Linked DNA regions of Rattus norvegicus. The protein of the gene in region 5 purifies or fractionates together with the protein of the main gene of each other region. This does not show direct contact. Links are inferred from orthologs where the notes say so. Each region holds a gene or a part of one and is shown on either strand. Other genes may lie near its edges.

Region 1 (3,930 bases), on a different chromosome or scaffold from region 5:
GATACCCATCCCTGTATGAACTGAAGCAAAGCCTCCTAGGCCCTGAGGGTACAGCTCAGCAGCTTGGTATCCGCCTAGCGTGTATAACTGCATACATTTCATGTCGCCTAGCATGTATAACAGCATACATTCCATATCGCCTAGCGTGTATAACAGCATACATTCCATATCGCCTAGCGTGTATAACAGCATACATTCCATATCTAGCACCACACACGAGTGCACAGGAAAGGTTATAACAAAGAATTACCACAAGCTTCCACCACACTCCTCCTAGGTTTGTAACAAAAGCAGAAGTGGGGGCTCAAGCCAGTACGTGCACATCAGTGTTGACAACACTATTCCTGACAGTCAAAAGGCAGACAGAACAAACTTCTCCTGGTGGACACACATACGATGACATTGTGCAGCCATAAGAAGAAGTACTGTGCTACAGTGTGGACAAACTCAGAAGCATTTTGTTCTTGGGCCTGCAAGGTGACACGAGTCGTTAACCCCAGTACTTGGGATTACAAAACAAGAGCAAAGAACCACTTGGGAGGCAGAGGTGGACGGATCTCTGCATATTCAAAGCCAGCCTGGTCAGCAGAGTTCTAGGATAGCTAAAAATAAAATTAACAATTTAGATACTAAAACCCTAAACTCAAAATGATTTAAAACTATAAAATAAACATAGTAGTGTACAGTCATAATTCCAGCACTTGGGAGGCTGAGGCAGAATAGCCCTGGGACTTCAAGGTCAGTCTAGGAGAAACCTTATCCCAACAAACAAACAAAAAAACTTTAAAAAAAAGTTTAGCGTATCTATTTGGAAAAAGTTAATTTTCAAAGACCAATAAAACCAACCAACCAACTACTGAAACTTTAGTTTTATAACAGTCCCTGCTTCCCAGGTGGCTGAGGTAGGAGGACTACAAATTCCAGGTCCACTGGGCTACAGAGTAATCAAACCTTGTTTTAAAAAGCAACATGAGGGTTAAGGATGCACCTCAGTGACATCGCTTGCCCAGCATACTCAAGAGCCTAAATTCAATCTTAGTACCAGAGAGTAGGGGCAAGAGGAAAGGCCAGGCATGATGGCACAGCACACACCTACAATCCCAGCACTTAGGTTGAGGCAGGGCTGCTGTAAGTTAGCCAAGGCAGCATACATAAGGAGAACATAACAAGACCCTGTCTCACAAGAACAATAAAAACGTTCTTTTATTTCTTAAATGAAGAAACTCTTAACAGTTTAGACTCATTAATAACGCAACAATTAATTGCTGTGGTGACACACCTGAAACTTCAGACAGCATTTGGAAAGTAGAGGCAAGAGTTTAAGGCCAGCCCCAAGAACATATTAAGGTTTGAAGCCAGTCTGGGTTACACGATAATCTTTTTAAAAACAAATAAAAATTCAGCCAGGTGGTGGTGGCGCACACCTTTGATCCCAGCACTAAAGAGGCAGAGGGAGTTCAAGGCCAGCCCGGTCTATAGAGCAAATTCCAGGACAGCCACGACTACATAGAGAGATCTTGTCTCAAAAACAGAGAGACAGATAAAAACTGTTTAACTAAAATTTGCTGGTTATTTTCATATAAAATATTCAAGGTTTTTTTTTTTAATTTTTAAAAAAGATTTATTTTATATGAGTACACTGTAGCTGTCTTCAGACACACCAGAAGAGGGCATTAGATCCCATTACAGATGGTTGTGAGCCACCATGTGGCTGCTGGGAATTGAACTCAGGACTTCTGGAAGAGCAGCCAGTGCTCTTAACCACTGAACTATCTCTCCAGCCCAAGTATTCAAGTTTCAATCCTCGAACTTTTTTGATGTATTTGTATGAAAACAAAGACACATACAGTCAAACAGGAAAGCAATGAAAAATAACTCTGGCTTTCTCTAAAGATTCTAAATATAGACTTAAATTCTTACCCCCTCCTCTTTGCATCTACCCAGGCCTGGTCTCTGCTATCTTTCTCGGGATCATAGAGCAGCTCATCGTTTGTTGGAATCCTGTGTTGTTTCTTCTTCTTCTTCTTGGTCACTTGTGTTAGTTAGAAAGGTTAAGAACATGGATCAGTATCATGTCTAAAGTTTACACTTCTTAATATCAAATGACTCTCCTGTTTCCCATACTATCTATTTATTCTATTATATTATGTTTTTAAAAGTTGCCTAAATGGGAGGGAGTTACCGGAAGGGGGTCAGTGAGCAGGATATAAAGTAAGTAAAAAATTAAACTAAAAATAAGAAAAGAAAAAGATGCCTAAAGCCTTTCTTTAGCAGTCTCAACACTTGGAAAGTTGAAGCGGGAGAACTGCCATGCCTGGGTTACGCAGTGCATTCCGGATACCCTGACAACAAAAGTAAAACCCTATCCCCAAAACAATGCATAAAATTAAATAAAGCTATTCTTCCAATAAGAGTCTTGTCCGGGGTTGGGGATTTAGCTCAGTGGTAGAGCGCTTGCCTAGCAAGCGCAAGGCCCTGGGTTCAGTCCCCAGCTCCGAAAAAAAAAAAAAAAAAGAAAAAAAAAGAAGAGTTGTCCAATTAAGACACTAAAACAGGGCTGGAGAGATGGCTCAGCGGTTAAGAGCACCCGACTGCTCTTCCAGAAGTCATGAGTTCAATTCCCAGCAACCACATGGTGGCTCACAACCATCTGTAAAGAGATCTGGTGCCCTCTTCTGGTGTATCTGAAGGCAGCTACAGTGTACTTATATATAATAAATGAATAAATCTTAAAAAAAAAAAAAAAGACACTAAAACAAAAGATAAAGGAGGCCAAAAAGCTAAGTTCAAATAATAAAAAACAAAACCCACTTAAAACCAACTGGGCATGCTGACACATGTCTACAATCCCAGTGCCTGAGATAGAGGAAGTTGAATCATGAGTTCAAGGTCATCCTTGGCTACATACAAAGTTTGAGACCAGCTTAGCTTGTATGAGACCCTGTCAAGAACAAAAGGGAGGGGGTTGGGGATTTAGCTCAGTGGTAGAGCGCTTGCCTAGGAAGCGCAAGGCCCTGGGTTCGGTCCCCAGCTCCAAAAAAAAAAGAACAAAAAAAAAAAAAAAAAAAAAAAAAAAGAACAAAAGGGAGGAAGGTGAGACTGCTCGAAAGTCTAACAATCTGAGTTCAGTCCCTGGGACTCACGTGGTGGCAGGAGAGAAATGACTCTCACAAGTTGTCTTCTACAGCCGTATGTGACTTGTAAAATGAGCTCTCATAAATACACACATATACAGAATAATTTTTGATTAAGAAAAAAAAAAACAATGCTAAGAATGTGATTTGGGTCTTGTGTAGGCAGAGCTGGCCTCAACTCGCTAGGTAGCCTAGGATAATTCTATGCTTCTGATACCCCAGCCTTCACCTCCCAAGTGCTTGAATTACAGGTGCATCCACACTGGGATCACATCTGGGGCTTTGTGTACACCATGCAAGCAATTCTGTAAACTGAGCTCCATCCTTAGTCCTATGAATTACTTTCCGCATAGAAGATCACCACAAGTTCTCAAACATAAATCATTACTAAACCAGACAATGGCAGCTCACATCTGTAATCCTAACATTTGCAAAGCAGAAGCATGAGAACTGCCATGAATGTGAGGCCAGATGTGCTGCACAGTAAGTTTCCAGTCAGACAGGGCTATACTCCAAGACCATCTCTCAAATAAATACTAAAATCAGAACAAAATAATATTTAAAAACCAATGGTAATTCTTTTAAGGTTTATTTTATATATATGAGTGTATGTTAAGTACACTGTATAAATGCCTAGTGCCTGCTGAAGCCAAAACAGGGACCCAGGTCCTCTGGAACTGGAGTTATATACGGATAGCTGTAGGGGCAAGGTGAGCTCTAGAAGTGGAGTTATATATGGATAGCTGTAGGGGCAAGGTGAGTTCTGGAACTGAACCAGGACCCTCTGCAACAATAG
Region 2 (3,694 bases), on a different chromosome or scaffold from region 5:
AAAAACAAAGACAAATAATCAGGTTGCTCTTAAGGAAATGTTCTGAAACTGGTTTAGTTTGTTGGGGCAGTGGTGCAGGCTCTGGTTGTGTTTAATCTCTTGTTATTGTCCCTTATGTAGAGTAATTGAAATAACTCGTGTAGAAGTGAGTTTCAGTCGTCCTGTAAGTTGTAAGTTCCCACATAACTGTAGAAGCAGCTGTGTTGGCACTCAGTCTTCAGTAGAGTTACACTCTTCCAATGACTCAGCATGAGAAAGTGGCCTGATGTCATTCTGTAGCCTGTCACGTACGGTGCATATTACAAAGGCAGATTTCAACCCGATGCTTACCTTCCCTCTGTCCACAGTGCGTCATCCAAGATTTTCAAGCTTCCGTCCTTCAAGTGTCAGACTCCACCTATGACGAACAGTATGTTTTTGTCTAACTGTGTACTTCAGAAATAAGGGCTTTTGTTTATTACATATTAAATGGTTGTAGAATGTGTTAGCATTCTGAATCCTATGTTAGTATATTCTGAATACTGCTCTTAGGTATTTGTAGTTCTCAGAGATTGGTGGGTCCTCATAAGTGGATTGTGATTTTGAACAGAGTCGTTTTGCCTTCTGTGAAATACTCTTTACATTTGTAGAGTGGCTGCACAGATGCCCACTGTTCACTATGAATTCCCTAATGGCTACAACTGCGATTTTGGTGCAGAGCGGCTGAAAATTCCTGAAGGATTATTTGACCCTTCCAACGTAAAGGTGTGAAGAAAGCTACTTTCAGAATTGGTGTGGCTTTTTCCGTGTAGAGAATGTATGGGATAAAAAGCCTAAATAAGACTAAATTTGCCAGTAGGGGATTTCCATATGAACAGCTGTTCTTGTTCTAGGGACTATCTGGGAACACAATGCTGGGAGTCAGTCACGTTGTCACAACAAGTGTTGGAATGTGTGACATTGACATCAGACCAGTAAGTGCCAACCTCTACTTGTTACTGTCTCTTATAGCAATGAAGTACTCCAAATTAGGTTTGCAACTTTGGCCAGTGGCTTTTTTTTTTTTAATTTATTTATTATAGATGAGTACACTGTAGCTGTCTTCAGACACACTAGAAGAGGGTACTGTACCCCATTACAGATGGTTGTGAGCCACCATGTGGTTGCTGGGAATAGAACTCAGGACCTTTGGAAGAGCAGTCAGTGCTCTTAACCACTGAGCCATCTCTCCAGCCCCTGGCCAGTGGCTTTAAGGGCTGTTTTTAACCATGTGGAAAGAGATGGACAAACTGATTTGCAGTGCTACTGACCAGTCAGCTCAGTCCAGAATTGCACTAACTCTTCTGTGAATGTGATTTGTGGCTGCTGGACTGCACACAGCAGACTCTTAGAACACTTTCCCCTCACTAAATTTCTTTGGTTATTGCTACTCCAGATTTCCTAAAATATAGTAAATCAAGATACATAGAAATTGGTGAATTTTTTTTGACTTTTTTTTTTAAAGATTTATTTATTTATTATATATAAGTACACTGTAGCTGTCTTCAGATACACTAGAAGAGGGCATCGGATCTCTTTTACAGATGGTTGTGAGCCACCATGTGGTTGCCGGGAATCGAACTCACGACCTCTGGAAGAGCAGTCAGGTGCTCTTAACCGCTGAGCCATCTCTCCAGCCCTTTTTTTGACTTTTACTTGTAGTTTTTAGAAAAGTATGGTCTAGGGGGCTGGAGAGATGGCTCAGCGGTTAAGAGCACCCGACTGCTCTTCCAGAGGTTATGAGTTCAATTCCCAGCAACCACATGGTGGCTCACAACCATCTGTAAAGAGATCCGATGCCCTCTTCTGGTGTATCTGAAGACAGCTACAGTGTGTACTTATATATAATAAATAAATAAAATCTTTACAAAAAAAAAAAAAGAAGAAAAGTATGGTCTAAGCGTGCAACTTCTGCATGGATTGTATGATTTTTGTATTTGTTCTGCTATGTCAAGTTTTAAATTGTTGATACTATATTGACTTGATTATATAATATACTCATCTATATTAATAATTTATTAAGCTATAGATTTATTTCAGAACCCACATACTATCTTGGTTTTCAAGTTAATTTGCTTAAAGTATGATGTGAGTAGATATGAGTGTATAAACGCCATACTTAGAAAAGGCTGTTGAGTGACTACAAAGTAATTTCTTCTGAGTGACTTAGCAACCTATACCACTTCCAGGACAGTGGAAGTAATAGTTTAGAATTTAAAAAATACGTACATACACACACACACACACACACACACACACACACACACACACACACACAAATTGTGTGTGTGTTTTGTGGGGTTGAGTGTCTTTGTACCTTCACATGGATTCCAGGGATCCAGCTCATGTCCAAATGTGCATAGTGAGCACTTGTAGCACTGAGCTAATTTTCTGCTCTAACTGTTGGTGGTTTTTGTGCACGGTCCCTTAAGGACACAGAATTAAATACATTTGCAAGAGTGGAACTTTCTATTGAGATCATTTTCTGTTTATTTAATGTTGTTAGCAGATGGGACCCAATTTTTGCATTTTTCTGTTTTAAAATTTAGATGATCTAGATATTTGGTGTAGGTTTTAAAACTAAGAACATAGCCAGTTAAAAAGGCAGGCTGACATTTACATTTTGATAAATATATGCAAAGTAGAAGTAAATACATTCCCTATGAGTATGCAGTTGTTTTTATTTGGGAGTTCAGTCTGTGTTCTAAAAGAGTTGCAACATTTCTACAAAAGAGAAAGCATTTTGGTCAGGCATGTTTCAAAAGAGTATCATTATCTGTCATGATCATAAAACAATTTTGTCTAATTTAAAATACCATGACTTTCAGATGAACAAAGACAAATACCATTATAAAATGTACCTCTAATATTAGCAGCTGTCTGCCAATAAGAATTATGAGCTTAAGAATAATTGTTTTACATCATTTGCTCTAAGATGGCTCAGTACATAAAGGAGGTTGCCACCAAAGCCTGACAACCTGAGTTTGATTTCCAGAATCCACATGCTGGAAAAAGAGTCACCTCCCAGCAGTGTCTTCTAATGTCCACGTGAACGGTGGCGTGCTTACACACACACATAGATCAATGAAGAACGGTGAGGTTGGTAGGTGGCTCCAGCACCTGACAGTACTCCACAGTCGTTGGAAACATCTGAAAATGGTTCTCTTTCTCTCCTAGGGTCTCTATGGCAGTGTGATCGTAGCAGGAGGAAACACCTTAATACAGAGTTTCACGGATAGGTTAAATAGAGAGCTTTCTCAGAAAACTCCGCCGGTAAGTTTTTCTGTTCTTTGTGTTATTTAGTTGTGTCTATTTGTCTTAGGCAGGGTTTTACTGCTGCGAACAGACACCATGACGAAGGCAACTCTTACAAGGAGAACATTTAATTGGGGCTGGCTTACACGTTCAGAGGTTCAGTCCATTATCATCACAGGAGCATAGCAGCATCCAGGAAGGCATGGTGCAGGTGGAGCTGAGAGTTCTACACCTTCATCTGAAGGCTCGTAGGAGAAGACTGGCTTCTAGCTAGGGTGAGGGTCTTAAAGCTCATACACACAGTGACACACCTACTCCAACAAGGCCACACCTACTAATAGTGCCACGCCCTGGGCCAAGCTTATACAAACCATCACACCATTCTTACCTAGTGGAATTTAATAGCTAATTGTGTGCATGT
Region 3 (4,654 bases), on a different chromosome or scaffold from region 5:
CGTGAAAATGAACAGTGTCATGCTACAGTTGGCATGAGATAGTGAGCAGAGTCTTAGCTCCTGACCTCCGTGCTCAGACACTTCCTATTACCTGGCAGAGAAACGGGCTGTGGCTTCGTGGAAAGAATGAAGCCATTCTTCTCTCCTATACCATCTAACCTGTCCATAGGGATCAAGTCTGATTGCCAGCCACACGTTCCCAAGAGATCTCTGAAATGACGGACAGATGTTTGCAAACTGCCGTGTACAGAGGTCACACAGAACAGAGAGAACTGGCTAGAATGGATGAGGCTGAGGGTTACACAAGGGAAACCCTCCACAGTCCCCTGTTGTGAGCATTATCTGGTTGCAGGCCTGAGTGAGGGGCAAGTGGAGGGCCAGGACTGGATTCAAAGCTTGCGGTAGCCAGCAGATGGCTCTTATCAATACCCCAGAGTTCAGAGCTACAGTGGCCCCATAGCACAGAGAAGAACGTGGTCTTACAAAGGTTCTTGACATCTTAGTCACACAGCTGAGAGACATCAGTCAGGAAAGGGATTCTGATGCCTGCCCGTGGCTGAGGGTCAGGTGAGTAAAAAAGCTTGGATGGGTGGCAGGGTAGGGGTCATGGTACAGCTGACTGGGGTGACTCAGACCAGTAGGGACCATGTTCTTAAGGCTGCTGTGCCTAGCACTTGACCCTACCCAATCCCATGTAGAGATACTAACACCTGCCTGAAATTCTGACAGCCTCCACTGTAGGGACAAGATGGGGGTGGTAAGGCCAACAGGGCCCAGGTTTCTGTCTTTTGATGCCAATGAAGCACTTAATTCTGAAACTGTCATTTGCACCCAGGCCAGGGCTACTAAATGTGGTTGTTGGGTTTTAAAGTCTTTAATTATGGTGTGTGTGTGTGTGTGTGTGTGTGTGTGTGTGCGCGTGCGTGCGCGCGCGCGCGCGCATGCGTGCAAAAGTGTGAGTATACCATGGTATACATATAAAGGTTAGATACAACTTAAAAAAAAACTTATTTATATGAATACACTGTAGCTATCTTCAGACACACCAGAAGAGGGCATCAGATTCCATTATAGATGGTCTAGATGGTCGTGAGCCACCATGTGGTTGCGGGGAATTGAACTCAGGACCTCTGAAAGAGCAGTTATCATTCTGCCAAGCCATCTCTCCAGCCCTAGAGTAGAACTCTTAAGAATTGCTTCTCTCCTGCCCCCTCTAGGATCCAGGGGTGGAGCTCCAGTTACCAAGTCTGTGCACAAGAATCTCTATGGACGGACCATCTCACTAGCCCCTGGGTTTTTTGTTTGTTTGTTTGTTGTTTTTTAGCTATTTTTTCTTAAACAGTTTTCGTGATGTGTAATTTACATACTGCACAATTTATCACTGGCAAAGGGAGACACACTTCTAGCTGTGCAGCCTGAGTCTTTTCCAAGTTATCTACTCAGGTGAAGCCCAGATTTTTTTTGGGCCGTGTGTGTCATGCTATGCCGAATTGGCTGACTCAGAACTCAGAGAGATCCGCTCGCCTCTCCCTCTCTGAAGGCCCAGCTGGTGCATTTTTAAAGCATGAGGTTTGTTCCTGCTCCTCTCGGGACAGAGTCGTAGGCAGTAAAAGGGCCAACCACCAGGAGTCGCTGCTGCACCGGAAGCCAGCCTTCGTTGCGCCTGCGCGGACCCGGGCACGCGGCGTTCCCGAGCCCTGCGAGTGCGCGCCCTCCACACCAAGTGCGCCTGCGCGGAGCCTGTAGTAGCCTTTCTCGCGCCGGGCGCTCGTCGCTCGCCGGCGGCCATGGGGGAGGCCGAGGTAGGCGGCACGGGCGCCCCAGGCGATAAGGGCCCAGGCGAGGCAGCCCCGAGCCCTGCTGAGGAGACGGTGGTGTGGAGCCCTGAAGTGGAAGTGTGCCTCTTCCACGCCATGCTGGGCCACAAGCCTGTCGGTGAGCGCCGCGCCGCGCACCGGCGTGGGGGTGGGGCGGGATAAACCGTCGGGCGGGCTGGCGGAGCCTGCGACCCCGCACGGGCGGGACCTCCCACTCTGGGGTGCCCTGTTAGTCCAAGAGACCATGACTTTCCTTCCCGAGAAGCCCTCTCCCAGGGGACACTCCTGACTTCCCTGCCCTTGAGACAGTCCTACCCCAGGGAACGCCTCCATTCTCCCCGCCTCTGCAGCCCCTCTGCCCAGGACCCGCCTACTATACACCCTAACCACCTGCCTTGTGGCACCCTTCGTCCCCTTTGACACTTGACTCCTGCAACACTTGCACCTGTGGTTTGCACACTCCTGCCCCTCCTACACCCATGTCCTCTGCACAGAGGTGCTATCCTAACCCTCAACCCACTGTCCTGCCTCTCAGGGGTGAATCGACACTTCCACATGATTTGTATCCGAGACAAGTTCAGCCAGAATATTGGGCGCCAGGTTCCATCCAAGGTGATCTGGGACCATTTGAGCACTATGTACGACATGCAGGCACTGGTGAGTGGACCCTGGCCCACTCATTTGGGGGCTGAAGGTGGAGTCAAGTCCCGGATGCTGCCTTCCCAGAGTCCTCTGTGGTACAGGACAGAGCCCTCTTCTCACTTGGGGTTTGGTATGCAAAGATCTCAAAAGATGAGGCTCCTTCCTCAATCCTGCCTTGAAAAGCACAAACTAGGGATTCACTAACCACTTTCTCAGGACACCTACTTTAGATTGGTGGCACAAAGTGTCAAGGAGATAGTTGGGCGCTGAGATGATAGAGAAGCCTCAGCCACCGTAAAAGGCAGTAATAGGGTGCAGTGTCGGTATTGGGGTCCTTTGAGAATCTGTATACTGTGGGAGCTAGACTGTTCCTCTTCTGAGAGCAGAGAGGGTAGCTAGGTAACTGGTTTGGAGAGCTGGCAGTGTCTGACTCGTGTGTAGGTAACTAGTAACCTTGCTAGTCAGGTTTGTCTGCAGTGTCTGGCAGGCAGTGAGACTACGTAACCAGGATGGGTGGGGCTGTAGGGGCCTGTGGTTGGTCATGGCGCCCCTGGATACATTGTCCTGGTGGGAGTGTTACAATGGTGAACAGGTCAGGTCCTTGTGAGCACATCAGGGGAGCTGCTATGACTCCAGGGCTCTCTCGGTGGCATGAACCTGGTCCTCTCCTCTGGTTTGGTTTGGCTGGTGCTAGCCTGGCCCTCCCTAGTCATCTGAGAAGCCCAGCTGAGGTGGACTCTGCAAGCTGGAGCAAGGAGCCCCACCAGCTCGCAGCCTCCAGCCTGCTCCTCCGTACAGCTTAGTGAGCGGAGACCCTGTTTTCTGTTTCTTGAAAATACAAAACGCTTTGTGCCGGCAGCACGAGTCTGAGATTCTGCCATTCCCAAATCCAGAGAGGAACTTTGTCCTTCCCGATGAGATCATTCAGGAAGTCCGAGAAGGTGAGACTCAGCCACCACCAGGGCTGGGAATAAAAAAAGCCTCACCAGGCCAAAGGTGGGGAGGTCTGGGGCCTCCAGGGAGGTGTAAGGACCCTGCTCAGACCACGCCTCCAGTGGCGCCTGGGAGGTTTGGGGAGCCGAGGGCTGGGGCGAGCGGTGCTCAAAGGCAGTCTCCTGATGGATGCCGTCTTACGATGGACGCCGAGGCCTGTGTGGGCAGCGAGAGTCGGAAGCAGTCCTGGCCAGACCGTCCCCCAGCGCTGGCCACCACCGTGGGTTTCCAGTGAACGGCAGCTGTCTCCTCCACAGGAAAAGTGGTCATTGAAGAAGAAATGAAGGAGGAGATGAAGGAGGATGTGGACCCCCACAGTGGGGCTGATGACGGTGAGTGGAAGTGCCTTCTGGAGCCGTCACCACCACGGGCCAGCCTCAGGCAGAGTGAGGTCAGGAAGCTGAGAGTCAGGAGCGAAGCATCCCTTTCAGATGAACTCAGTGTGGGAGGGCCTCTGAGAGCCATGAGGAAGGGGCCGAGGCCAAGGCTGGGGGCCTCTGAGAGCCATGAGGAAGGGGCCGAGGCCAAGGCTGGGGGCATTGGGTGGGCTTAGACAGGAGACCCCCTGAGAGACTCGGTTTCTCTTCGAGCCCAGCTGTACAGGGCACTTACCCGGGGAACATACTGGGTCCGAACGCCTGGTTTCTCTAGCTGAAGAGGAAAATGAGATGAGTTTCTGGATATTCTGTTTTCAGCCAAATGATTTTGTTTCCCAGTTTTTTCATCTTCAGGGAGCTTGGGGAAAGCATTAGAAAAATCCAGCAAAGACAAAGAGAAGAACTCCTCAGACTTGGGGTGCAAAGAAGGGGCAGACAAGCGGAAGCGCAGCCGGGTCACTGACAAGGTCCTGACTGCCAACAGCAATCCCTCCAGCCCCAGTGCTGCCAAGAGGCGCCGCACATAGACACCTCAGCCCCAGGTGGCCAAGAGATGCTCCAGCTGCCTGTCCTCAGGTCCCTGGGTGAATGTGGCCATCCAGCAGAGATGCTAGTGGGGCTTCCGCTGTGTCATCAGACCTCCAGAGCACTTGATTGGTCCAAAAGGCCAGCAAGACCGGTGTCCACTCTGCTGGATGGTGAAGCCTCTGAGCCAGCCTCTTGCTTTCTCCTGGTCAGTTCCCTTATGCCCACAGTGTGTGGAGAAGAGCAGGTGCGTGGGCCAGAGGACCAAGAGTCAGCAAGCAATAAGACGTCACCCTCACT
Region 4 (4,537 bases), on a different chromosome or scaffold from region 5:
ATGTTCATACCTTGGGCTGGCTCCCGAGTCCTGCAGAGGACCATGCCTGTCCTCCCTTTGAAGCTTGGGTCACTAATGTTCCTCATCCTGAACAGGCCTATGTTTCTGCAGTCTTGCCTATCACAATCTGCCCTGTGGTGTAATCTGACGTGATGTCCTAGCCAAGCCAAGCCAAGCCAGTAATCAGTCAACTTGAGAGCTGAGGAGAATACCACTGAGAGGATGTTCACCTGGAACCTCCAATAAAGCAGCTGATTGCCACAGCTGTAAAGCAGCACCTTCAGGTTAGTCTAACACCGAGAGAGCAGAGCAGAGACCGGCAGCACATGGAGAAAATGAGCATTGGGATCCAGATACAACTTTTAGTTTCTAACTCTGGTTTCTCTTAAAGCAATCAGAGCTTTTGCTCTTAGGCAATTCAGAGTTCTAACTAATGCATTCAATCTCACCACCATGCTGGTACCAGCCAGAATCTGAGAGAACCTCAACTGAGGAAATGCCTCTGCAAGACCCGGCTGTAGGACATTTAATTAATTACTGATTGATGGGAAGGGAGGGCCTGGCCTATTGAGGGTGATGCCATCCCTGGGCTGGTGCTCTTGGGTTCTACAGGCAAGCAGGCTGAGCAAGCCAGTAAGCAGCACCCCCCATGGCCTCTGCATCAGCTCCTGCCGCCAGGTTCCTGCCCTGCTGAGTTCCTGTTCTGACTTCCTTCAGTAATACAGTGACGTGTAAGTGTAGGCCGAATAAACCACCCCCCACCCCAAATTTGCCTTGGTCTTTGGTGTTTTATCACAGCAAAACAAACCCTAACTAGGACAGAAATGGGTACTGCAGTCATGGGGTACTGCTGTGGCAGAGACCCGACTGTGCTTTTAAGATTGTAGAAGAACTTTGGGCTGGGCCATTCTGTAGAGAGCTTGGAGGAGAAGAATGTTGAGAGCAATGCAGATGGAGGTCTGGCTTGTGACATTTCAGAGGTCAGTTTGAGAGTCCTTTAATGCTTCCCAGAGTATTAAGAGTTATGGGTTCATGAAGCCACACAGCTCAAGTGGGTTCCAAGGATTTGAACCCTGGTCCTCATGTTTGCTCAACAAGCACCTGTTCTGAGCAATCTCCTGGAGTAAATACCTGCCAGGTGTGGTGGCACACACCTTTAACCCACTTCTTGGGAGGGGGAGGCAGAGTTCCAGGCCAGCCAGGGGTAAGAGACTTGTCAGAGGGGAGGAAAAAAACAGACTTGGCATGGCAGCACGTAACTCATTCTAGAATTGGGTGAGGTAGGAGAATCTGGAGTTCAGGGTCCTTCTCAGCTACACAGTGAAGCCTGAGGCCAACCTGGACTACATGAGACCCTGTCTCAAAAGGGGGAAAAAAAAAGATCTTAAGTAACTAGCTGGACCTTTTGAAGTTTCAAAAATACCTTTCATTCAGAAAAAAATTGAAGGGAGGTGATGAACATGAAAAATTCTATTCCTCAGAAAATGGTTTACACAATGTATTTGACTCTCTGGTTTAGTATGAGCCATGAAGACAGGCTATCCCATCACAAAATGGATTAACTAGCCTTAATCAGGGGAGTGTCCTCTAGAGTAGAAAGGAGGTACTTACAAGGGCTCCTTTGTACCCGAACTGTTTGAAGGGTAGAGGCCTTTCTGGAATGAGGCTTAGAGTTGATAAGCAGCTGGTCCCAGACACCTGAAACCACACACAATTAACGGCATAAAACAGCCCTGAGCCACAAGTGCAACTCAGAAATGATAGATTAACAGTGAGAGAGGGGCCATCAGCACAGCCCTTAGGACTACCTACAGTCTGGACCATTCCACACACTGACAGAGAAGGAGCAAACACCCCTGTCTATATATACATCCATCTCTCCTCTCTCTGGCCATCTCTCACCCACCTGTAGTACTCAAATACACACTGGATTCTATCTTCTGAGTTAACAAAAGAGGTTGGGGGGCTGGGCATGGTGGGGCACTCAAAAGGCAGACAAGTGATCTCTGGAGCTCTAGGGCAGCCAGGACTACACAATAGAACTGTCAAGCACTAATTGCCCTTGCAGAGGCCAGGGTTTGAGACCACGCACCCACGTGGGGACTCATACTGGACTGTAACTCCAGTTACAAAAGATCACTTTCTGACCTCGTAAGACACCAGGGATGCACAATCCACAACTTTAAACAACAGAATTAGCAAAACTTAGTCTTCAAGTTTAAAGTTAGAAATGCTTTAATTTCAGCACTCAGAGGCAGAGGCAGGCCAGCCTGGTCTAACAGAGCAAGTTTCAGAACCAGGACAACACAGATTGGTTTTTTTTGAGAATTGTTTTTTTGAAACAGGGTCTCACTACATTATACTTGTGGCTGTTCTAGAACGTCCTATGTGGACCAGACTGGTCTCGAACTCAAGAAATCCCACTGCCACTGCCTCCCAAGTGCTGGAATTAATGAGATGTGACACTAGCGGAAATGCTGAGTGGATTTCCCCGCACACAGGTCTCCCTCCGCCAAGGCCACACTAAGGAGTTTGTACCCAAATCAAAAAATAATAAAAATGGTATTGTCTGCTCTTTACCTTCCAAGCCGGTCCAGACCAGGTAGTCCTTGTAGAGTTCATGAAGAACCTCCCAGGTCCGGACTGGCCTAGTTGTACCCACCACGACTGGCCCGGTCATCCCTGACACCGGCAGAGTCCCCGCCCCCTTAGCGTCCGGGACTCCGCGGCATCCCCGACCCCCGCAGCGTCTCGGGCCTCCTGGTGTCCCCGGTCCTCGCAGAGACCCGACCCCTTGCAGTCTTGGGCGCCTTAGTGTCCCTGAACCCCGCGGCGTCCCTGGTCCCGGGAGCGTTCCCAACCTCCCGCAGCGTTCCAGGTCCTGCAGCGTCTTCGACCCCGCAGCGTCCCCGGTCCCGCCAGCCCACCCCGCTCTTCGCCGCCGCTCACCTCGCGAACCCTCGCTCCCCGCCGTCAGTAGCTCCCTGGACACCGTGATCCGCGAGCAGTCCACAGAAGACGAAGAAACCCCAGGACCACTCGCGTGCTCACCACGGAGCGCCATGCTTCTCAGGCACTGGGAGTGGAAAAGCCCGGATATAGAAAGGCACGGGGAAGGGGCGGGGTCAAGGCGGCAATTGACGGAAACTCGGAGGTGGGCGGTGACTTAGGAGGGTGGGGCGGTGCGTGGCGGGAGCTCCTGCCTGCAGCTGAAGCCTCCAGCCCACGGGGACCGGAAGCGGGGGCGGGCCCCAGGCGGGGGGCGGGGACACCACACTGCCTGGGCGGACCGCTAGGATTGCACGTGTCCGAGTCCAGCCAAAAGGTCTCCTTCCTTACTACTAGTAAGCGTCAGCCCAGCTAGGTTAAGCTAAGCAAACGCAAGCGTGAAGGTGATACGAGGCCTTTGTCGTTATTCTATTTTTGTTTTTGTTTGGGGAGGTTTCTGTGGCCCTGACTTTGTGGCAATCCTGCCATAATTTGTAACTTACAAACGCCAAATTATAGGTGGGAGCCACCACACCCAGCTTCTTTAAAAAAATTTTTTTTTGTTTAACCGGCTGGCCCAAGTTGGCCTCAAATTCACAATTTTGCCAGTTTCAGTTTCCTTGCACTTAAATCTACAGGCACCCGTTTACTATGCTTGCCTTAGTTTGTTGCTTGTTGAAGTCTCACCGAGTTATTCTTCTTGGCCTAGTACTCAAAAGTCCTCCTGGCTCTTTCTAGCCTCCTAAATAGCTTGAATTTAAGGTCTGGATGAGCAGACCGAGCTTAGTTCACTATTCAATGGTAAACACAAAACCCAGCAGTATCATAAATGCTGTTTATATTGCTATATATACAACAAGCCTTTGGAACATTGTCATGTCAAAATGAAAATTGTTCCTGGTGGTAGCTAAGTGGTGAAGTTGTGAAGGGAGCCCTAAGTTTGGTCTCCAGCATCAAAACAAACCCTTAATTTTTTTAAAAAGCTGAAATAAAACCATTGAATGATAAATCCCATTCCTCCTCTCTCCCTGGCCCTGGGACCCAGTGCTCATGGTTTTGCTGGGAACAAGGAAAAGAAACATTTGTAAGCACTACCATTTCATTTTCAGACTCCATTTAAATCATAAGGAGAAACAAAATTCAAGGCCCCACGCACTAGGGGAGCTGGGGACTTCCCTACAGCTGAAGAGCTTTTGTCTTAAGCAGGTGTCTGAGTTTAGACTTCTCGGGAACAACTTGTAAGGAGACAGCTGTCTTGAGTCCAGCCATCTCAAGAGTCCTCCATCTTGCTGAGAGGGTCAAACAGATTCGTGTACTCAGGCCTAGGAACGCACACCTATCCCAAATCTACATGTTTTCTTAATTGTCAGTTAACTGGTAAAGAATATAAAAAATGCTGTCACCTAGACCAAGGTAGTTAAGTTGTGAAAATATACATAACCAATTGCCTGTTGTGTGCTTGTTAATGACATACAGCTGACCTGCACCTTTGTCAGGCTGTCACTCTGAGCTCCGCACCTAAAGTCTAGGAGAAGGAATTAAGGTCCTT
Region 5 (3,930 bases):
GGTGTCAGTGACTGGTCAAGTATCACAGGACCAGTGGGGGGTGTCACGGGGCTAATGGAGATTTTCTTATGAAATGAGAAGCGAGGAAACAAGTGTATGGGCTGATGAGTTACCGTGGACACCTGGATCCAAACTCCCTTCTTCCAGAACTCTTCTGAGGCCCTCCCGAGTGAGCTGCCTCTCAAATTTCCCACTTCCGGTGTCAGCCAGTCATGTCTGTCAGGTACTTGGGGGTTTTTTCTGCCTGGTCATGGGGAGTTTCTGTTTCTTTTTTACTGTGCTGGGTTAAACCTAAGGCCCACTGTATGTTAAGCAAGCTGCCCAGTTGTTTTGTTTCGTCTGAGGTTCAGCCCCAGAGCCCAGTGATGGAAGAAAAGAATTAACCCCTCACTAGGTGGCCCTTGACCTATATTTGTGCACGTACCCATGTATGTAAATAAAAATGTTCTTTATTTATAGAATAGATAGCCTAGTAGGTTTGTCTCATCCTGTTTTACAGTTGGTCTGAAATCTCATCTCTGAGAACTGAGGTGAGATTGCACCAGGCTGATGCATTGAAACTAGAGGCTCTGGGAGCCTCTTATAGGAGTTGCTGGGGTGGGATCTGGGGCCTGCAGGAGCCATGTGAGCCCTCCACAGCCAAGCTCTTTTTTTTTTTTTTTTTAAAGATTTATTTATTTATTTAATATGAGTACACTGTAACTGTCCTCAGACACACCAGAAGAGGGGCATCTGACCCCATTACAGATGGTTGTGAGCCACCATGTGGTTGCTGGGATTTGAACTCAGGACCTCTGGAATAGCAGTCAGTGCTCTTAACCACTGAGCCATCTCTCCAGCCCCTAAAATAAATAAATCTTTTTTTAAAAGACTTATTTCATGTATATGAGTACACTGTCACTGTCTTCATGCACACACAAGAAAAGGGGATCAGATCTCCATTACAGATGGTTGTGAGCCATCATGTGGTTGCTGGGAGTTGAACTCAGGACTTCTGGAAGAGCAGTCAGTGCTCTTAACTGCTGAGCCATCTCTCCAGCCCCAAAATAAAGAAATCTTAAAAAAAATAATAATAATTTTGTGTTGCAGCTGCGCTTGGTGGGACACGCCTTTTAAGACCAGCACTTGGGAGTCAGAGGCAGGTAGATCTCCCAGTTTGAGGACAGCCTGGTCTACAAAGGAAATTCTAGGACAGCCAAAACTACACAAAGAAACTTTGTCTTGTATAAAACAAAAACCAAACCCCACCTGTATGTGGTGTCTGAGGAAGGGTCTGCCTCCTGAGTGCTGGGATTAAAGGAGGGAGCCGCCAAACCCAGCCTGGTGTGCACGTGTATGTTGTATGGGAACTGGTTGACACGGGCAGAGACTAGATGTTGGGTTTCCTGCTTTGTCACAGGGTTTTATATCTTTGAGACAGGGTCTCTTTCTGAACCTGGAGCTAGGCTGGCAGCCAGACTTTCCAGTGATCCTTTCTTCATCCCCAACTGCTGGGCTTAACAGGCCTGCCTGCATGTGGCTGTGCCTGGTGGTGGTAGTGGTGATAGTGATGATGGGACACCAGTGCTGCCATCCAAATTTAGGTCCTCATGCTTGCACAGTGAGTGCTCTTCTCTGCTGAGCCATCTCTAGTCCTCACCAGGATTTCCTTCCTTCCTTCCTTCCTTCCTTCCTTCCTTCCTTCCTTCCTTCCTTTTTTTTCCTTTCTTTTTTTCTTTTTTTTTTAGGATACAGCATCTCATGTAGTCTAGACAGGCTTTGACCTTGTTGTATAACTAAGGATGGCTTTGAATTTCTGTGCCCCACCTCTTGAGGGCCTTGCCTTGCCCAGTTTGTGTGGTGCTAGGAAGGATCCCAGGGTCTTGTGTGTGATAGGCAAGCTGCTACCCACTCCCTCTTTCCTAACCCTGTTGTGTTTGAGTTGAATCTCACAGCCCGGTTGCCTTCAGTGTCCTGAGTTCTGGAATTACAGGTGTGGACCAGTACTCAATTTGTTTGTGTTTTGAGATCATCTTTTTTTTTTTTCTTTTTTTAAAATAGGCCACTCATACTGGCTGGTGGTCCTCCACCTCCCACTTCTTAGTGCTCAGATAATAGGATTTACAACCACAACCAGTTTATTTTTTGTTGTTAATGGAACTGGATTTAGCCTAGGCATGCAGCTGCCCAGTGACTTTAATAGTTGAAAATAAAGTTCTAAATTAGTTCAATCTATTAGTAACTCAATTTCAGATTTTATAAATATGGTAAGAATATTGTGGGTAAATCTTTTCCCAAGAAATGTCTATAAGATGTGCGCGTGTGTGAATTTTTTCTTTAGAGGCTCAGTGGTTAAGAGCCTGTGCTGCTCTTCAGAGGACCCAGGCTCACTGCCACCTGTAACAATATTTCCAGGGTTCCAGTACCTTCCTCTGCCTTTTGTGGGTACCTGTGCTCACATGCACAGAGCCACATACAGCCACTCATACGTGCTTGAAGTTAAAAAGAATAAAAATATTAAGATATATATGTGGGGTTGGGGATTTAGCTCAGTGGTAGAGCGCTTGCCTAGGAAGCGCAAGGCCCTGGGTTCGGTCCCCAGCTCCGAAAAAAAGAGGAAAAAAAAAAAAGATATATATGTACAGATAACCCCAGCTGCCCTTTAATTCCTCCTTTTACCCTGACTCCTACTGGGACTGAGAGGAGAAAATCATTTGGGAGAGGATCCAGAAACAGAAAACTGACTTCTGGAGTGTTCCTGAGTATATCAAGAGTGCTTACATTGGGAGAGGGATGTGTGGGCTTTGTTTGCATTTAATTAATGTTTTATAAAAGGTTATTTTCATTTGTTTTTGCATTTGCTTAGTGTGTATAGAGGTCAGAGGACAAATTATGGGAGTGGGTTCTTTTACTGTGTGGGTCCCAAAATCATTAGGATTGGTTTCAAGTGCTATACCCATTTGGACGGCCCAATTTAATTGTCTTTTTATTTACTGCTTTAATTTTTGTAATTAACAAAAACGTTATTTTTCTACGGGGGCGCAGATACTCAGGAGGCAGAGTGAGGCAGTCTCTGGACCACCCTGGGTAATAAAGTGAGGCTTTGTGAGGATGCACAGTCAGTGGTAGAGGGCCAGCTTGCCTAGAATTGACATGAGAGAGCGGGGTGTGCCTTGGAGGTACAGTGCTGGGCCCAGGGTTCTAGAAAAGAACAAAACCAAAATGCCTTTCCTTTGGATGTGAAGAGCTGTCTTGTGGGCTTATGGTGACACAGCAGCCCACACACGTTAGGAGGGTGCAGCCTAAGTGCTGGCACCCGAGTAACCACCTCCCAATGCCATCCCCTTCATGAGCTGCCTGGGCCACACCAATTTTGAAGCTATGGCCACAAAGGGGTGATGTCCTCTGAACATTTACTGGTGTGTCACCCTCAGGGATCCAAGGTGGGCAAACTGACTCTCAAGACCACGGAGATGGAGACCATCTACGATCTGGGTACCAAGATGATCGAGTCCCTGACCAAGGACAAGGTCCAGGCCGGGTGAGCCACGGGACCACAAAGAGGCTGGGCAGTGAGGGGAGTGGAACCCTCTTACTCTTTGCTGTTGCTCCTTCAGGGACGTGATCACCATCGACAAGGCCACTGGCAAGATTTCCAAGCTGGGCCGCTCTTTCACACGTGCCCGAGACTATGATGCCATGGGCTCCCAGGTGCTTGGCTCATCCCCAACCCAGCACTGGAGTGTTTCTCCATCTTCTGTTATGTCATGGGGTTGGATGCTGGGTTACCTCCCAGTGTGGGGCTCCAGGCTGTGTCCTGGCTGCCCTCACACCTGCCGTTGACCCTGTAGACCAAGTTTGTGCAGTGCCCAGACGGAGAGCTGCAAAAACGCAAGGAGGTGGTGCACACCGTGTCCCTCCATGAGATTGACGTCATCAACTCCCGCACTC
Region 6 (3,930 bases), on a different chromosome or scaffold from region 5:
CCAGATAGCCTTTATCAGAAAGGATGGAGCTGGGAAACGGAAAACTGCCCAGGACAGGACTGAACTCACTGAATCAAGCAGTACATCCAACCCAGGGCCTGGCGTGGACCGACGGGAATCGGGTAGTCCTGACTGATTTACAGCTTCATAGCGGAGAGGCCAAGTTCGGGGACTCCCAAGTCATTGGAAGTTTTGAATCTGTCTGCGGGGTTTCCTGGGCCCCTGTCAGCACAGTGCACGTGCCCTCTCTGCTTGCGGTCCAGCACAGAAAGCTTGTCTCGGTTTGGCAGCTGTGTCCCAGCACTATAGGATCAAGCAAATGGCAGATGTGTCAGACCTCTGAGATCAGAGAGTCACTCCCTATCCTTCCTCAGGGCTGCATGTGGCACCCAAAAGACCCTGTCCTGACCGTGTTGACTGCACGGGATGTCTCCATTTTCCCTAACGTCCACCAAGATGGCGGTCCCAGGGTAAAAGTGGACATCAACACCAGGGGCCGCGTTTACTGTGCTTGTTGGACCCTGGATGGCCAGAGGCTGGTGGTGGCAGTAGACAGCAGCCTCCATTCTTACATTTGGGACAGTTCTCAGAAGTCTCTTCATAGCTGCTCCTTCTGCCCAGTGTTTCCTGTGCACTGTTGCATCCGCACCATCACAGCCACGGGGAACTCACAGGTCGCTGTGGCCACCGAACTTCCACTCCATAAGCTTTGTAGCTTAAATGCATCCGACGCCTTTGGCGGCCCCCCGAATGGTGAAGATGGTGCTGTACATCCTCATCCTGTGGGTGTGAGTGAAACGCCCCCTGTAGATGAGCAGGAAGCCGCTGCAGAAATGAATTCTGGAGCAGCAGTTTCTCCCTTGTCAGTTCCTCTGGATCTGACTCACATACATTTCAACCGATCTGGAGCCGAGCAGAGGTCTCTTATTTGTTTAAGAAAAAAGGACTACTTGACTGGAACTGGCCAAGATTCTTCACATTTGATCCTGGTAACCTTTAAGAAAGCAGTGACCATGACAAAAAAGGTCGCTATTCCAGGCATTCTGGTTCCTGACATAATAGCATTTACCCTGACAGCACAGCTAGTGGCTGTGGCTTCCAATACGTGCAACGTAATTTTGATCTATTCTGTCGCTCCATCTTCTATGCCAAATATTCAGCAAATTCAGTTAGAGAGTAACGAAAGACCAAAAGGTGTATGTTTCTTGACAGACAGATTATTATTAATTACTGTAGGGAAACAGAAGCCCACAGAAACAGCCTTTCTCCCTTCTTCAGAATCTGATCAGTATACTGTTTATCTGACAGTTAGAGAAATAACTCTGGGAAGAGAATCTTCTGGAACATCTGCTGAAAGTCAGGGTGCTTATGCTGATATCAATGCTCTATTAAATAAAGCAGATAGAGAAGAAAAGTTCACCGAGAGCCTTTCCCCATGCGTGAGTCCCCTGAGCCAAGGACTCTTGCTAACAGCTAACTCCAGTACTCAGAGTGGGAGGTCTGGAAAAGCCCTTATTCAAGAAATTAAAAGTCCCTTGTCCCCTCTGTCCAGTGATTCCATTGTCCATGAAGTCTGTCACAGGCCCTCCTGGCTTTGCACAGCATTGCCTAGACCCAGCAGGACCCCAGATCACACCAGCACCCCAGAAGTGAATTCACCTGCAACGGAGAACTTACAAAAGGAAACTTGCCCACTTTCCAGAGAGCTGGGGAGTCTGTCTAGGCACCTGGTTGGAATGCAGCAGTATCTTTTTGAAATCAAGGATTTTCTACACAAGGAGAAGCGAGTCTCTCCCGCGTACCCACCTTCTCACGACCCTCCCTATGTTCACCTCATTTACCAGGTAACATCTCTTTTGAGGAACTTTCACTATGCAGGAAGCTCTTGCATCCTGTCTGTCCTGCCAGAAACACTCAGGGGAGGGCGGGGAGGGCTTTGAGTGGAGCTCAGTGACCTGCGTCTGACAATTCCTTTGCACAATTAGATGGGCATTAGCCTACCAAAAGTGCTCACACCAGGGTTTAGCGAGATTTTATCATATCCTTGGTGTGGAAATCAATGACTACACTCCGTTGACTTATATTTAGGGAGAAAATAGGGTTAATTGTGTCTATTCATTTCAAAAACTGTGTGTGTGTGTTATCATTTAAAATGTTTTTAAAGATTTATTTATTTTATGTATATGAGTACACTGTAGCTGTCTACTAACACAGCAGAAGATTCCCATTTCAGATGGTTGTAAGCCTTAAAATGTTTTAAGGCAGGAGAGATGGCTCAGCTGTTAAGAGGACTGACTGCTCTTTCAGAGGACTGGGGTTCAATTCCCAGCGCCCACATGGCAGCTCACAACAGTCTATATTTGCAAGATCTGATATTCTCACACAGACACACAGACATACATGCAGGCAAAACACCAATGCACACATAAAATATGTTTTGAATGCATCCTTATATGTGCAGATGTAAGTACATCACACTTTTTTAAAGGTTTATTTATTTATTATATATGAATACACTGTAGCTGTCTTCAGACACACCAGAAGAGGGCGCCAGATCCCATTACAGATGGTTGTGAGCCAGCATGTGGTTGCTGGGAATTGAACTCGGGACCTCTGGAAGAGCAGTCAGTGCTCTTAACCACTGAGCCACCTCTCCACATATTTTTTTTTTTTTTTAATCATGGACACTTCTTTTCACATTGTGTCTGGCTCTGTTCTGTCATGTTCACTTTTCAACTAGCAGCCATGTGGCTCCTCCCACGTTTGCCTCCATACACATAAACTCTAACACAGATCCTTGTGTAACACGTAAAGTGTGTGTGTGTGTGTGTGTGTGTGTGTGTGTGTGTGTGTGTAGTGTGCTGTCACTGCTTGCCACAGTGGAGTCATGGGGTGCACTGTACCTCAGGGTGAGCATGCATATTTACGCAGCCTCATTTTCAGTTGGGTACCTCAGATGGTGCTGAAAGAGTGTATTTATTCACTTGATGTAGTGCCTTTATTTATTTTTGTTGGATTGGTTTCAAGAGGAGAAGTGCAAATTCAAAGAGTGTACTTCTACAATATTTTTTGTTTATTTTTGTAGCTTAGGCTAGCCTCTCAAGGATGCCATTGAACTTGTTCAATGTGTATGTGTGTGTGTTCATGGGAGTCGTGTGTGTGTGTGTGTGTGTGTGTGTGCACATTGTGTCTGGAGGGAAGGTTTCCGCTTGACCAGGTTTCTCACTGAACCTGGCTCTCACTGAATGGCCAGTGAGTTCCAGGTCACTGGTCTCCACTCTGGCCAGCACCTACCCTGCTTTTCTTCTCTGTTTTTCCATTTAACTCTGACTCTACTGCTTTTGTGGCAGGTACACTTCTGCCTAAACCATCTCCCCAGACTAAGACCCTGAGCTTCTTATCCTTCTGCCTTCACCCTGAAGTGCTGTGGTTATAGGTGTGCACCCCAAGACCTGGTTTTATGCCGTGCTGGGGACCAACTCAGTCTTGTGTGCACTAAACCAACCTCTACCATTTGAGGAGAATCGCCCATTTAATTCCATTTTCTACTTGTGTTTAAAAAGTTATTAGGAGCTGGAGAGGTGGCTGTTAAGAACATGAACTAGGCTGGGCATAGTGGCAGATTCCTTTAATTCCAGCACTTGAGAGGCAGAGGCAGGAGGATATCTGTGAGTTAGAGGCTGGTCTGGTCTACATAGTGAGTTCTAGGCCAGTTAGGCCTACATAGCGAAATCCTCTCTCAAAAAAGAAAAGAAAAGAAATCCCAAGGAAGAAAGGAAGGAAGGGAGGGAGGGAGGAAGGGAAGGAGAGAGAGAGAGAAAGAGAGAGAGAGAAGGAGAGAGAGGAGGAAGGGAGGACAGACCAACAGAAGGACATGTATTGCTATCCTAGATGACCAGAGTTTGGTTCCAGGCTGTCTTCTGACGTCTT
Region 7 (3,634 bases), about 110 Mb from region 5:
ATCCCAGCACTCAATCCCAGGCAGGGAGGCCTCTGAGTTTGAGGACAATCTGGTCTACAGAGTGAGTTCCAGAACAGCCAGGGATAGACAGGAACTTTTAACTTAAAATACCGGAAAAGAGGATAACATTTGAAACTTAAAAATATCCAATAAAAAAAAAAATAGTTAAGTGTGGTGCTGTACTGGGGTGGGGAATTGGCATTGTTTTCAGAAGAATGTCCCTAGAAAAAGCTTAGTGTGTGCCTCCTGTCATTCCAGTACTGGAGAGGTGGAGGCAGGAAGATAAATTCAAAAGCATCCCCTGCTATACAGGTAGTTTGAGGGCAGCCTGAGCTTCAGACCTTGTCTCAGGAAGCAAAAAAAAAAAAAAAAAAAAAAAAGCAAAGAAATCCTTAGAAGGTTACAGACGTCTAAGAGATGTGATTAATGAGACTGAAAAGGAGAGCTGATCTGAACTACAGAAATTTGACAATGTGACAAGTGGTCATTGAAGGTACAGATTCTACAGGCTTTGCCAGATAGCTTTCTGGTTTGTGTTGGTCCATTTTCCAGTATGACTGGACACTAATACAGTATTTCCGTCACAGGCATACCCTCCAGATAATCCACTAAGGCCTACCTCTCAATAGGCCTCATAATATTTAACAATGCAAACAATTTCAATACCGTCGGAGGGATGTTTTCCCTATTTGTATTGCTTTGCTGTGCTTTTGTTATTTGAGACAGGGTCTCAGGTAGGCCCAGGCTGGCCTTAATTTGATATGCTTGCCTGTTATGTATTTTGAGCTCCAGATTTGTTAAAAATGCCTGGTTTATTTATTTTTTTAAATTTATTTTATGTATATGAGTACTCTGTAGTCTTCAGACGCACCAGAAGAGGGCATCAGATCCCATTACAGATGGCTGTGAGCCACCATGTGGTTTGCTCACCATGTGGGAATTGAACTCAGGACCTCTGGAAGAGCAGTCAGTGTTTTTTTGTTTGTTTGTTTGTTTTTTTGTTCTTTGTTTCGGAGCTGGGGACCGAACCCAGGGCTTTGCGCTTCCTAGGCAAGCGCTCTACCACTGAGCTAAATCCCCAACCCCGCAGTCAGTGTATCTTAACCACCAAGCTATCTCTCCAGCCCCCTATTCATTTATTTTTGTCTGTTGTTGTTAGTAATATTTTGCTGGCCTTGTTTGTTTGTTTCCAAGATAGGGCATCACTATGTAGCTCTGACTATCCTGGGATGCACATGAACTCACAGAAATCAGCCTACCTTTGACAACCCGGTGCTGGAATTAAAGGTGAGAACAGCTACGCCCTGCTAAGACCCTGGTGTTTTTTGTTTGGTGGTGGTGCTTGGTTTTGTTATTTAAAAGATAGTTTATTTTTGCACAATTTGGTACAACCACAAAGAACAAACTGGGATTAGCGACACAGTTTTTCAGAATTCGGCGAGCCAACGTGTTGGGAAGAGCTTGGGCGACTTCTACGCTTGCCCAACGAGCTACTCTGGAGAGTTACTGAGAAGTCCCAGAAATGTGCCGAAAGGAAGCTTCCCCCGCCCTCCACGCACACAAAAGCGGAAATAACCAAAGAAGCGCCGGAAGTGGCGGAACTGGTACAGGACAAGCGGCACCAGTTTCCATGGAGCCCGCGGGGCTCTGCGGCTTCTGCCCGGCCGGGGAAGCGGTACCAGCGCGCTACACCTGCCCTCGCTGCAACGCTCCCTACTGCTCGCTCCGCTGCTACCGGGCTCACGGCGCCTGCGCCGAAGACTTTTACCGCGACCAAGTGCTAAGAGAGCTCCGCGGCCGAAACGCTTCGCCCAGTCGTCTGGCGGGCGCATTACGCCGGCTGCGTGAACAACGCGAGGCCGAGGATGAGCCCGAGGAAACAGGCCTCCGGCCCGGCACGCGGCCGGGCGGTCTTTCTGGACTTTGGGAACGTTTAGCGCCGGCTGAGAAGGCGGCATTCGAGCGGCTACTGAGCCGTGGCGAAGCCGGACGCCTCCTGCCTCCGTGGCGGCCCTGGTGGTGGGGCCGCGGCACCGGCCCACGTTTTCTGGAGGAGCTGGATGATGACGCGAGTAGAGATCTTGCGGAGCCGGAGCTACTCCCTGCGAGGACCGGGTTGGAGTCCGTGGATGATGCCGCTGCCGCTGGGGAGCCACTTGCTGAAGACTCCAGTGTCGCCAGACCGCCCGCAATGCCTGCCCGCATCCCAGCACTGGCCAGTCTGAGCCGCAGCCCTACCTCGCCACTGGTGCGCTTCCAGCTGCCCAATGTGCTGTTCGCCTATGCTCACACTCTCGCCCTATATCATGGAGGGGACGACGACGCGCTACTCTCTGACTTCTGTGCTACTCTGCTCGATGTTTCTGGGGCCCTGGGAACCCAGCAAGTCTTTCACTCTACAGAGGAAGCCCTGCAGGCCGCAGCCCACGTTCTGGAAGCGGGCGAGCACCCACCTGGGCCCCTGGGTACACGGGGTGCTATGCAGGAAGTTGCCCGAATCCTTCTGGGCGAGGGTCCTATCAATCAGAAAGGCTACACGCTGATAGCATTGGGGCACCTGGCTCAGACCCTGGGTCGAGCCCGGAAACAGGCTGTGGTTGGTGAAGAGCGAGATCGCCTTTACCGGGCTCGGAAGAAGTGCCAGTTCCTGCTGGCTTGGACCAATGAAAACGAGGCTGCTCTCACACCCCTGGCTCTAGACTGTGCCAGAGCCCACCGAGCCCATGCTGTGACAGTTGAGGAGATGGCAACCCTTACTGGGGAGCTAGAACGGCTTTGGGGAGGCCCAGTACCACCTGCACCAAGGATTCTCATTGAGGAGCTTCCTGGCTGAGCTGGGCATCCATGTCATTACATTAATAAAGATGTGTCTGCTCTGCCCAAATGTTGGCAGTGCCTTTCTTTATAGATGGTGCCCTGTCGTAAGCTTCTTTTGAAGTTACTGTATAGTTGAAGATGACCTTGAACTTCTGATCTGCTTCCCACCCCGACAGTGGGAGGTTACAGGTGTTAGCTACCTTGCGGATATGCAGTGCTGGATAGCAAAGGCTTCCTGTGTGCTACACAGGCACTCTATAACTGAACTACATCCCCAGGCCTGAAGTGCCCCTTTCTGAGGGTAACCAATTGTCTCACTCAGGCTTTTGGACCCACAAACCACTTTTAAGCTTTCATTAGTCAGCTAGTCATCCCCAAGCCTCAAGTCACTGACCCCAGGATAGAAGAAAAACAGCAAAGGTTGAAAACATTTATTCAACAGGGAAAAATTTCCTTCTGGGAGCAGTGGCTCCCTCTTGCTTTCAACGTTCTTGTTTTCAACGTGCTGAGCATCCCTGCCGAGTAGAACTGGTTCTGCTTCAGTAGACATACGGTATGATTCGGTAAGGCACGCGCTTGCAGTATTCCTGCCAGGCACGGCCATACTTTCGCAGGCACTGCTGCTCATCTCGGGCCTCGCGGTGCACCAGCAGTGCAGTGAAGTAGAGCAGGTAGAAGTAGGGCAGCAGGTGGGACAGCCCTGTAAGGAAGGGGCTGCATGGTCAGCCATCACGATGAGCACCGGTTTATAAAGGCTTTCACAGCTGATGGCACATGGGGTGTCAGGCTTCCTAGGCCCTGGGTCCACTCCAGTAAC

What was found.
Region 1: the proteins of Ruvbl2 (region 5) and Eapp purify together in Homo sapiens (affinity purification with mass spectrometry; 3 studies listed by BioGRID and IntAct, with this or other methods). This does not show direct contact. The link is inferred for Rattus norvegicus from reciprocal best matches to the Homo sapiens genes RUVBL2 and EAPP.
Region 2: the proteins of Ruvbl2 (region 5) and Actl6a purify together in Homo sapiens (affinity purification with mass spectrometry; 11 studies listed by BioGRID and IntAct, with this or other methods). This does not show direct contact. The link is inferred for Rattus norvegicus from reciprocal best matches to the Homo sapiens genes RUVBL2 and ACTL6A.
Region 3: the proteins of Ruvbl2 (region 5) and Mrgbp purify together in Homo sapiens (co-immunoprecipitation; 5 studies listed by BioGRID and IntAct, counting the BioPlex papers as one, with this or other methods). This does not show direct contact. The link is inferred for Rattus norvegicus from reciprocal best matches to the Homo sapiens genes RUVBL2 and MRGBP.
Region 4: the proteins of Ruvbl2 (region 5) and Nopchap1 purify together in Homo sapiens (affinity purification with mass spectrometry; 4 studies listed by BioGRID and IntAct, with this or other methods). This does not show direct contact. The link is inferred for Rattus norvegicus from reciprocal best matches to the Homo sapiens genes RUVBL2 and NOPCHAP1.
Region 6: the proteins of Ruvbl2 (region 5) and Wdcp purify together in Homo sapiens (affinity purification with mass spectrometry; 6 studies listed by BioGRID and IntAct, counting the BioPlex papers as one, with this or other methods). This does not show direct contact. The link is inferred for Rattus norvegicus from reciprocal best matches to the Homo sapiens genes RUVBL2 and WDCP.
Region 7: the proteins of Ruvbl2 (region 5) and Znhit2 purify together in Homo sapiens (affinity purification with mass spectrometry; 5 studies listed by BioGRID and IntAct, counting the BioPlex papers as one, with this or other methods). This does not show direct contact. The link is inferred for Rattus norvegicus from reciprocal best matches to the Homo sapiens genes RUVBL2 and ZNHIT2.

Annotation. Positions count from the first base shown.
Region 1 is NC_086024.1:77,915,066-77,918,995, forward strand, and holds part of Eapp (E2F-associated phosphoprotein), read right to left. Parts: intron 2,033-3,930; coding exon 1,921-2,032; intron 1,914-1,920; exon of another isoform or gene 1-1,913. UniProt on the Homo sapiens protein: May play an important role in the fine-tuning of both major E2F1 activities, the regulation of the cell-cycle and the induction of apoptosis. Promotes S-phase entry, and inhibits p14(ARP) expression.
Region 2 is NC_086020.1:117,430,402-117,434,095, forward strand, and holds part of Actl6a (actin-like protein 6A), read left to right. Parts: intron 1-347; coding exon 348-409; intron 410-629; coding exon 630-744; intron 745-872; coding exon 873-953; intron 954-3,195; coding exon 3,196-3,291; intron 3,292-3,694.
Region 3 is NC_086021.1:188,072,994-188,077,647, forward strand, and holds the start of Mrgbp (MRG/MORF4L-binding protein), read left to right. Parts: upstream 1-1,761; 5' UTR 1,762-1,787; coding exon 1,788-1,935; intron 1,936-2,352; coding exon 2,353-2,474; intron 2,475-3,318; coding exon 3,319-3,400; coding exon of another isoform or gene 3,401-3,709; coding exon 3,710-3,784; coding exon of another isoform or gene 3,785-4,005; exon of another isoform or gene 4,006-4,168; coding exon 4,169-4,356; 3' UTR 4,357-4,654.
Region 4 is NC_086025.1:22,244,073-22,248,609, forward strand, and holds the start of Nopchap1 (NOP protein chaperone 1), read right to left. Parts: upstream 3,079-4,537; 5' UTR 3,065-3,078; coding exon 2,950-3,064; intron 1,699-2,949; coding exon 1,612-1,698; intron 1-1,611. UniProt on the Homo sapiens protein: Client-loading PAQosome/R2TP complex cofactor that selects NOP58 to promote box C/D small nucleolar ribonucleoprotein (snoRNP) assembly. Acts as a bridge between NOP58 and the R2TP complex via RUVBL1:RUVBL2.
Region 5 is NC_086019.1:105,041,417-105,045,346, reverse strand, and holds part of Ruvbl2 (ruvB-like 2), read left to right. Parts: intron 1-3,413; coding exon 3,414-3,520; intron 3,521-3,596; coding exon 3,597-3,690; intron 3,691-3,830; coding exon 3,831-3,930. UniProt on the Homo sapiens protein: Possesses single-stranded DNA-stimulated ATPase and ATP-dependent DNA helicase (5' to 3') activity; hexamerization is thought to be critical for ATP hydrolysis and adjacent subunits in the ring-like structure contribute to the ATPase activity.
Region 6 is NC_086024.1:33,576,575-33,580,504, forward strand, and holds part of Wdcp (WD repeat and coiled-coil-containing protein), read left to right. Parts: intron 1-4; 5' UTR 5-23; coding exon 24-1,844; intron 1,845-3,930.
Region 7 is NC_086019.1:212,781,984-212,785,617, forward strand, and holds Znhit2 (zinc finger HIT domain-containing protein 2), read left to right. Parts: upstream 1-1,600; 5' UTR 1,601-1,630; coding exon 1,631-2,833; 3' UTR 2,834-2,882; downstream 2,883-3,634. Other genes in the region: delta(14)-sterol reductase TM7SF2, read right to left, coding at 3,357-3,517. UniProt on the Homo sapiens protein: May act as a bridging factor mediating the interaction between the R2TP/Prefoldin-like (R2TP/PFDL) complex and U5 small nuclear ribonucleoprotein (U5 snRNP).